Linked DNA regions of Drosophila melanogaster. The protein of the gene in region 2 purifies or fractionates together with the protein of the main gene of each other region. This does not show direct contact. Each region holds a gene or a part of one and is shown on either strand. Other genes may lie near its edges.

Region 1 (5,335 bases), on a different chromosome or scaffold from region 2:
CTAACATCAGTTTCTATATATTCATGCAATGAATAGCGGCTACAATACTTAAGACTTCCGCGATCCCTTTGATCGATTTCAGCAGATCGGTCGCGATCTCTCCCGCGGTACTCTCGATCTTTAGATGAGTTATAATAATGTTCTCTTTTTTCTCTGGGCTGGTCTCGGCCTTTTTCATGAGATCTTTTACGGTCTCGAAACGACTCTCGCTCCCTAGAACGACAATAATCACGAGGACGTGAATCTGAATCTCTAGATCTTTCTCTTGTCATGATCAATATATCCCGAGAATCTTCCGGCGATATATCACTAGAACGGCGTCGATAAAAAGTACGGCGACGCCTTATTGAAGTTCCAACGTTTTCTCGCATTCCACGATCACGGTCATAACTTCGCTCTGACGAGTGTCGACTGCGCTCCTTAAAATGGCGATCTCTTTCTCTTTCCTTGTCGCGATTCCAGTTTCGATCCCTACTGCGGTTTGGAATTTCATGATTGGTTTGTGTGGTGTAGATATCCTTTATGTGTTCGCCGTTCTTTTCAGGATATCCGTGGATGAATTCGGTGTCCTCCAAAGCCGCCTGCTGAAATGTCCATTGCGGTGTTACTTTTGGACCTATTAATTGTTTTCCAGCGACTGAATTTGTAAGGCTCTCAAGAGATTTTTTTAATGTGGCACCAAAAGGATCGCAAAACACATCTAAGATCTACAATACATAGATACATTAGAACAAGACAAAAGCTGAAAAACTTCATCATACCTTTCCCATTACAGACTTTTGATTGTATTTTTCAACGAATTGTCTCGCTCCCTTTGTACTATCAAACACTATACGTGCAATGCCCAAGTGTTTGTTTGTGATGGGATGATGGTAAATATTTATTTCATCAGATGTTCCACATTTGTCCAGCATGCTAGCAAGAAATTGCTTGTCGATGTTATCATTTAGGTTCACTATTGTAACTTCGACTGCAGGTGGCTGGCCCACGTAGTCGCTATCGATGACAAACCTATGGGTACGGACCAGGTGTTTAGCTGAAATATTTTAATTTAAGCAATGGTTACCTCGGAATAAGAAGCATAAGTGGTTCAACAGCCCTGGCGCGTATGCGAATAAGTGGATTCCGAGGATCTCTAGGTGTTATTGTTGGATAGGACGGGTCTCCTGGCATTAAACCATCGTAACGATAGAGTCTGGTACCACATTTAACCAACTGTGGATCAGATAGCAGTTTAAAGTTGCGCGGCATTTTGGAGTTTGCCAGAGACGAATCATGGCTGTTGCTGGAATTGTTGACCAGGTTGATATTCCGAACGTCCTGCATCTGTGTCAATTATGAACAAACCTAAAACTCAGGAACTGTAAAAGCTATATATAACACAACAATTTTAAAGAAATTTATTGCTTCTTGAATATAAAATCTTACATACCTATTTTACTTATTAACAAAATAATAGAATATAAAAATATTTAGAAATATCACAAAAAATTTTCTGCGATGTTTTTATTTGAAAGGGATCAACAGCGAATATATAATATATAATTATATTAAAATCGTTCACGCTGCTTTTTTAATTAAAAAACAAATAATTAAATTACTTTTTTAATCATTATATTGGTTGGATGATAAAATTAACTCTCAAATATATGAAATATTGAATCACAATGCAAATAATACACAAAAACGAGGCTTTCGATTTCTAGGGGCGATAATTATGAAATCGATTTCGTAAATAATAACTAGTTCAGACTATGGCTAATTTGGGGAGTTGGGTAAATGTTGTTTCTATATTTCATAATACCGTAAAGAAAATTCTAGGCCAAGAAAAGTTAATAATCCGAATCATATATTACATTTAAAAAAAAATACGTATTACTTTCATGTAGTTGCGTTGCCTTTAGTTGCATTTAAGCGTTCTTAATCTATAACCCTATAATATAATATATATTATATATAATATAATATATTCTTAACTCTATAATATAATGGGCGAAACTGAACGGTAATTAAATACATACCCCACCAATTTTTATTAAGAATCAAATAAAAAGTTTGGTTGAAGTCAAATCTATTTTTGTTTTAACTTTTGTGAGTTCTGTGGACTTCCGAAATACTTCCATAAACATATAAGTTTTGTTTTCGCTTCGAAAATAAAATTAACAAGCAAGATTTTAATAATTTCAGTAAGAATTTCAATCTGAAACTGATTTTACAAAGTGCATTATTCTTATAATAACGGTTTTTATCAGTGACAAGGACACGGGCAGCGAAAATGGACTTTGGTCAGAAGATTTCGATTCCTTAAAACTGTTACCTGATGAATACGTAAACGGGATGGATATTTTCTTTAAAAAAGTTTTAATGCTGACTAATTGGTTCGAACGCTCTTTGTTTAAAAGTTTGAAAAGTGCTTATGTCTGCTGTCGACGGTAAAGGCGTGTGAAATGTTTGAACCTAGGTTGCTGTCGATCGTGAATAAGATTTATTTCGCCTAAGGAGTTCAAACGTTTAAGTGGTATTGATTTAAATAACTTTCACAGTAGGCTCTGGGCTTATGTTGATAACAGGGTTTGGTGTCTAGGTTATTTGCATCACTTATACATTATATAAGATTGAAATAAAAAAATTACGTTTTAATACACAGCTGTGTTTTTATTTGTTAGGGTTATATCAGTGAGTTGCCAAGTGTGAATCTGATTTTAAAAAATGAATTATTCTAATAACTACAGGGGATAGCGTCGTCAACTAGCCTTTTTGTTTTAAAGTTTTCGTTTAGATAAGAAAGCATAAACAAGACCACAGGTGTGCTCGATAAGTTGGTAGATTTTTGCGATTAGAAACAACACTTAACAAGATACACTTACAACAGTTCGGATATGAAATTATTTTAAAAAACAATATTTTAAATAGATCTTATGAAATATACACTTTCGTCTCCCTATATACACATATATTTTTTCGTGTTTTTGTAAGTAATTTGTTTACAGTGGGTTCAGTTACAGCATAGCAGCCCCAAATTTAAAAAAAACTAATTTACTTTAACTACAGATTTTTAAGTCTCCTCCGGACACTCTCCTAATGCGCTTCGTCACCACGTGGATTGCTGTCCACAGTTAATATTTTATATATTTCTATATGTTGGATAGACGCGTACCCAAAAAGTTTTAGTTGGTATACAAATTCTTAATGAATTCTTTCCCTTCCTAAATTCTGATACTTCATGTAATGTAAGATCGTCCTAAATAAGCCTTTTTTTTAAAAAAAAATGTATTAAAATATTAGGCAAAGCTGGCGAAACGCCATAACTTAATGCATTAATTCATTTGCTTCATATGTATATTGGTAGAAACTCTTGTGTGACTAGACTCTTTCTCTTTATTACTAACATATATCTAATTTAAGTATTTGTTGCTTCTGTTAATTTAAGGTTGAAACTCTTCACGGAGTTTTCGATGCGTTTTGAGCTGTTTTTACCTTTATCTTTCACTTTCCTAAACTAAATTAGCTTGTATGTATGAGTGCTACATTTTAAGACATTTTAACATTTTATAGGCATCGCGTTAGAGCTTAGCAAAGAACAAAAGAGAAGGCTATAGTCGAGTTCCCCGACTTTCAGATACCCGTTACTCAGCTGGTGTGAATTCGAACGCGATAAATATTGGGGAATTAAATGAGAAAAAATTTAAAAGCTGTTCAAAAGTGTCGGCGTGACCAGTTTGTGGCTTTAGAGCGTTAAAGTGGGTGTGGCAAATTTTTTTTTGGCAAATCGATAGAAATTTACAAAACTAATAAAAAATATCGGCTTGTGGGCGTTAGTAAAAAACATCAAAACATTTATGAAAGTGTGCTGCAGTTTTTTAAGGCTTGTTAGAGTGGGTGTGGCTAATAGACTTTGTCTTGTCGGTAGCAATGGACAAACAAAATAAAATGAAGCCTTTTGCAAGCCTTTTTCAAAAGTATGGATATAACAAATTTGTGCGAATTTGGTCAGTGTTTTAGAATAAACTTGTCCTGTGTGTACGTCAATACGTATGATGATTTCTTCGGTCAATAGTTTCCGGCTTGTTGAGTCAACGATGAGGGGGCTTATCGATTCACGATTTGGTGTTTAAATGGATTCCGGATCGCTCAATGATTACTCTTAAATGGACCAAAATTGAAAGGCATAGAAATAAGGCGCGGATCGTGATAAAATGCTTTAAAGTTTAGTCTTAGCCACACTGACGAGCTTGGCAGTTGCAACTAAACTTTTCACTTTTTGCCATGCCCACTCTAACGCCCACAAACCGCCCTACGCTGCCATACATTGATATTTTTCATATTTTTATTGTAAATTTCCATTGATTCACCCCAAAACTGTTTGCCACGCACACTCTGGACCAAAACTGTCACGTTCACAGTTTTGAAGAATGTTAATTCGGTTAAGAGCTTATTTGTTTATTTGTTTGTTACTGAAAATAAGTCGCGCCAACAGCTCCAATGACTCAAGTTCAAATGGGTTTGTACCATTGGATGACCGCGAAGTGCAGGAGCAGGAGCAGAAAAAGATAAAGCCGCCACCAATTTATATACGTGAGAAAACCTCAAGTGCGCTGGTTAACAAGCTAGCTGCAATTATCAGAGAAAACAGTTCCATGTTACACCACTTACTAAGGGCAACATACAAGAAACGAAAGTGCAGACTTAGGATAAGTCTAGCCACCGATCAGTGTCCAAGTACCTGAACGAAGCTGGGATAGTAATAGAGACATCAGTGACCTCATCCGAAATTATCGCGGCACTAAAGGAGAAGAACTATAACGTCAAAACGGTAATCAACATTCTCAACATTCTCACAGGAATAAAGAGCCGCAGCCACTCTTTAAATTCGAACTGGAGACATCGAGTCAGAAAAACAACAAAAATGAAGTACATCCTATATATAAGCTACAGTATTTACTGCCCCGAAGAATAACCACAGAATAGCGACACAAGCGCAGGCAACCTGTGCAGTGCACCAACTGCCAAGAATATGGCCACACCAAAGCGTACTGCACTCTAAAATCTATCTGCGTCGTTTGCAGCGATGCCCACAGTACTGTAAACTGTCCTTAGAATAAAAACGACAGTTTAATTAAGTTATGCAGCAACTGTGGCGAAAACCACACAGCTAACTGGCGAAGATGCATTGTTTACAAGGAACTCCAGAGCCGCCTAAACAAACGAGTGGATTCAGGTCGAGATCGTATCACACCAACAATTCACAATGCAATGAAACCGACAACTAACATCCCTTCGTCTGCCGAACAATGCCAAATTCATCCTTTGCAAGTGTACTAAAATCAGGGATCCA
Region 2 (5,293 bases):
AGATACCACATATAGCCGAATGTACTCCCTCCACCGATCCGACCACCATCAACATCACCATTAGTGGCTCAATTGTGCGCCACATCGGCTGGCAACCACGAATCGCATGCAAATGAAACCGCAGAGACAAAAACAACGATTACACCTGGGAAAACTAAAATAAGACGCATTTTGAATTTAAATTTTGCATTTGAGACTAAACATTTTTATTAAATATTTAGATAATAAACACATTCATATCAATATGTTGTAAACTTTAATATAAAAGTTACCAAAACTAAATTTTAAGATAAATGTATTGTAACCAGAACATACAAGACATAAAATTTAAATAGTTTACACTTTCGATAATGTAGCGAAATTATTCAACTTTTCTCGCAGTGCTGGGAAAAGAGGACATCATCCTAGGAGGACGAAGGGCGCAGCTGACGAATTGTGAAAAAAGTCTGACGGAGGGAAACAAGATGGTGGCACCACCAGAGCCCCTTCCCCTCACCCCACCAGTTTCCTCCCTTTTCCATGGGTCTATAATTTTCTGCTGCGTTCACACGCCATAGTCGCATTTTTTTTCCAACCATCTTTTGTTGTTTCCTTTGAGCAAACATTTAAATTAAAAACATTTACATACGCCGGTGGGCGGACAAAAGGGAGGAGTGCCAGGAACCCAGATATTCAATTATGATTTTTCAATTGGAGGACCCAGCACACGAGACACTTTCTCAGATAAGTCCTGTCGCAGGACTTTTTGTTTTTTCTCTTGACGGTCTGGAAAATTATAGGGTGATGGTTAGGATGTTTAAAGGACATTTAAAGGGAATGAATAATTACAAGAATACAAATACATAAATATATTTTTCTTGGAATTTGGTGAAAATACAACTTGTAACGAAACAATTCAATACATTTTTCATAGCTCAAAATTGTACAATTTTTTTGAATAAAATGAGAAAAATGTGGAAACAGAAAACATTTCGAAATATTTTACATAAAATGCTGGCAAACAATAAAATGATGGCAAATGCGGGATAACCCCTTTGTTCATTTTTTACATTAATTTCCTCTCCTGAATTTTATAGATTTCCCTACCATGTTTAAATATGCTTTATAAGGTTATGTTTATAAAACATTCATTTCAATGTTATAGGTTAGTTCTTAATATAAAATCGTTTATTTAAGACTTAAAAAATATGTAATCAAGAACAATAATATTAATTTCAGAGATACCATGAAATTAAATATTATTAAAAGAATTTTTCAATATTCTCAATTTATACAGTAAACGTAACTAGAACGAAACTCACTCGCTTTTCCACTCAACTCAGTGCGCTGTGGTGAATAGCCAATGAGAAACGGAATGGAATCGGACCGAGTTGAGAATAATTGTAAATAGTCGACGAAAAGCGGTGAAACACACCCCCAACCCCGACCAACAAAATCCACTCACACTCACCATAGCAACAACAACAATGAAGCAAAGAACTGTCAACAGCCAAAAACAAAATGACGAATTTATGAACTCCTCAGCGCGCTCTCTTTCGCGCTCCCTTGCTTCTAGCGGCACGAGTGAGATGGCAGCAACAAAAGGCTCTCACTCAAATACGGCTATATAGAGTTGTCTCGCTCTAACACGCGGCTAGCTTATGAATTGGTATTGTTTTGAGTGCATGGGAATGTGTGTTCGAATTGGAAAATGGAAATGAGTTATGCCTCGACGCCGACGTCGCTGCAAGCAGCATGGGAATGCACTGCATGTGTGGCCATCTCGCTCACACCAGTCTAATTGAAAACCGTATTTTTTCCCATATTTCTTTTGCGGTTTAAACTGGCGGTTTGCCTACGTCACGTAAGGAAAGTTTCGGGCCATGTTCTCTGGAAATGTTTCCTTACGTCGCGTTACGTGGTGTTGAAAACCTTTCGCCGTAAGACACATCAGCTGTTGTTGTTTCTGTTTTGGGGGGTCAGTCGACGTCGCAGTTGGCTTCGCTGTCGGCGTCCTCGTATTTGTTGTTGATTTTTGCGTTGCGTTTTTTTGTTGGTTTTGTTGGCTTTGGCTTTGGCGCTTTTGGCGTTTACATGGCGAAAAGCGAATTGGGATTCATTCAATGGTCAGCTGCGTGACTGTGAAGCAGCGACGGCGCTCCGGAATTTCCCGTTTCCTACTCGAGAATACGCAAATTACGATAAATAGCACGAAAAACCGGAGACCGCAAATACGGGCGTAAAGTCGTCAAGTCGCAAAGTGTGTCGTAAAACGTTGGAAAAAATAATACACATTATTTGCAAAAAAAAATTAGACAAATTTTATAATATTTTATTATTTAATAAAAAATCAAACGGCACAAGAATAATAACATACATACATATATAAAAAGGAAGCAAAGCAACTCTGTGTGATAAAGCAGTTTAAATTATTAAAAGCAAAAGCCGGCAAAAAATCAACAAATATGTTGAAGAAAATTGTAAAGAATTCAGTTTAAATCCGAATATAATATTTTAAAGAGCATTAAACAAACAAGTCCCAAAATAGTAGAACTAATGCAAATACAAACATATCAAATAATGGGCAACAAATAGGCAAACGATAAAGAAAATACCAACAAAAGCGGGAAAGAAAGTCCGAAACCTTTGAGAGCATATATTTGGCAAGAATTGGCTAAAATCCGTGCAGCAGCATTACCAATTGGTCTCGGCCCGAAAATGCTTTTGAGCAATCAGCCGGCGAATACGAAACCGCAGCAAACGCCTTCGCCGTCGCAGACGCAGAACTTCAAGTCGAAGCTGCAGCAGCAGATTGTTTCGGCAGCGGCGGCGGCAGCGGCGAACATAGCCAACGGCAGCAGCCATCATCATCATCATCAGAACCATCATCATCACCATCCGCTGAACAACCATCATAATCACAATCACAATCAGCACAACATTTCCTTCGCCACGGATTTCTCAATTGCGGCGATTATGGCGCGCGGCGGAAACGCCCCAAGCAGCCGCGAACCTTCGGAACGCAGTCTGAGTGAGTAAAGTAATTCCCGCACTAAAATATCAGGCCTACATCGCAAACTAGACTCAAGAGCTGTTCAAAAATAGCCAATGCATTTTAGGGCTTCATTTTCGATTGGGTTTCAGAACAATAAGTATCTTGATATCGTTAGTTTGCATGAAACGAGCTTAAAAACCAATCTTCATTTGAGTCCCATCGCTTCATTCATGAACGTATGTTTCTTATGATTCTTGAATTCATATTCAGCTCCTTACTACAAACAAGTTTCACTCTATTAACATATTCAATATTCCATTCTTTCGATTGAGACTAATAAATTGGCCAGTCAAAGTTTGAAAAGATTTTAACTCTGGCATATCTAGCATGTTGATGTTTATCCCAAGTTACGGGCTTGTCTGCTGATTTAACTATAAATATTTACGATCCAGGATTAAAATATGAAAGGCTTGATAAATGATTGAAAATAATCAAGCTGTGACGAAGAGCCAATTATCACATTTATGTATTATTTATGTGAATTTTTTAATTCAGATTTCAGATACAAGATTAGGAAAGTACACTCAAAATCGAAATAGAACTCGATAAAATCACACATAAGAGCAGAAACAAAATGCATTGCCAGAAAAATATATGTGTAGCAAATTGGCTTTGAATACTTGAGACTTGATGAAGAACAAAAGCAAATTAGTAGGTTAGTGTGCTAGCAAGAAAATTGAAATGTAGTTGATATTTCTATATATTTCTAGAAACACGTAAAGCAGTTAGGAAAATATATAAACATATTTCATTGGCTTTGGTAAAGAGTCATGTAATCGATTGCTTAGTAATATTCACTTGCTTTATTACCCACCTCTTGAAAAACTGTCGCAGCTGCATTACATTTCTATATTTTCCACATTTTTTGCTGCCCTTTTTGTGCAATATAAATTATATATTGATGACAATGCAACGTTGATGACTTGATAATTGCAGCAAATGCGCGGCAATAAAATAATCAAAGCCTATTTGAATGCGCCAAAGGGGTTGGGAAATGCACATGACAGGCGCAGAGCAGATACATATATATGTATAATCGCATTTGTATATACACTCTGAATGCAAAACTATTTAGATGCCATAATTGGGCAGAGACAAAAGCGCAAACAGATGCATTCATTAGTGTGAAAACCGACCCCCCCCCCACCATCGTGCACACCATTCTCTTTCAATTGGCAATTTTCATTGGCAATGCCAGCACACAAATACACACGAAATTAACATATGAAATTGCATTTTGAGCAAATAATTGAATTTCTGGCGTAATCTGTAAAATGCATCTGGTCGCGAACTGGATTCTCGTTGGCATTGCTGTTGCGACTCGTCATCGACAACATGCAACATGTTGCAGCCCAGCAGCAACTCCCACATTAACGAGCCACGCTGATGTCTCTCTTTTCTAAGTGCACTGAAAGAATATGCTCTTCTAATATGACAACAAACAATTAGCACTTATGTCTGTTAAGAAATGATATACTTAAATACACATTCTTTACTGTTAGAAATTCGTAGGAATCTTTTTTATAAACTTATAAGCTCTAAGTATCATTATATTTAATATTAATTATTTTTGGTTACTTGTATCAAACATTAATTTTTAATGATTGTGTTTTGTAGTTGCAAGTAGTTGTTTTTCCATAATTGGGACTTAGTTACTGACGCATTCTGCCCCCCATTCATTTCTGGTCGTGTAGGTCCCGCATCTGTGGAGCGCTATTCAGGCCAGGATGCGGACGATGATGTTGACGTTGATGTGGTCGACTGCAGTGACTCGGAAATGCCGTCGGCAACTGCGGCAGCAGCAGCGGCGGCAACAACAGCAGCGGCTGCAGCGGCAGCATTGCAGGCGCAGCAACAAGCGCGTCAGGCATTGCGTGTTGCACAGCAACAACAGCAGCAGCAGCAACAACAAAGGCAGCAGACACATCACCACGCAACAACTGGCAAGCAACAACGCCAACATCACAATCATCACAGCAGCAACACCAACAACAGCAGCAACTCAGGCAACAGCAACACCAACAGCAAATCAAGCAGCCAGCGAGGGCGTTCTGCTGCCGCAGTGGGAGCCGCTGCCACGCCCTCGCCACCGCCGCCCCCGCCCTCGCAAAGTCCGGAGGAACTCGAACGCCTGTCGCCAGAGGAATCACCAGCCCAGGTAAAGCTGCACAGAGACATAAATCCTTTTTGCTTCTAGAAAAAGTGGCTAGCAAAAAGTATTATTAGCAAAATTTATAAAATAAGATATAGGTACAAAAA

What was found. The genes of interacting proteins can lie anywhere in the genome.
Region 1: the proteins of H15 (region 2) and Set1 purify together in Drosophila melanogaster (affinity purification with mass spectrometry, with the first as the bait; one large-scale study listed by BioGRID). This does not show direct contact.

The regions. Positions count from the first base shown.
Region 1 is NT_037436.4:25,105,336-25,110,670, reverse strand, and holds the start of Set1 (SET domain containing 1), read right to left. Parts: upstream 3,078-5,335; 5' UTR 3,041-3,077; intron 1,675-3,040; exon of another isoform or gene 1,433-1,674; intron 1,394-1,432; exon of another isoform or gene 1,371-1,393; 5' UTR 1,327-1,370; coding exon 1,067-1,326; intron 1,012-1,066; coding exon 762-1,011; intron 708-761; coding exon 1-707. UniProt on the Drosophila melanogaster protein: Catalytic component of the COMPASS (Set1C) complex that specifically mono-, di- and trimethylates histone H3 to form H3K4me1/2/3. Binds RNAs which might negatively affect its histone methyltransferase activity.
Region 2 is NT_033779.5:5,402,183-5,407,475, forward strand, and holds the start of H15 (H15), read left to right. Parts: upstream 1-2,097; 5' UTR 2,098-2,697; coding exon 2,698-3,010; intron 3,011-4,728; coding exon 4,729-5,192; intron 5,193-5,293.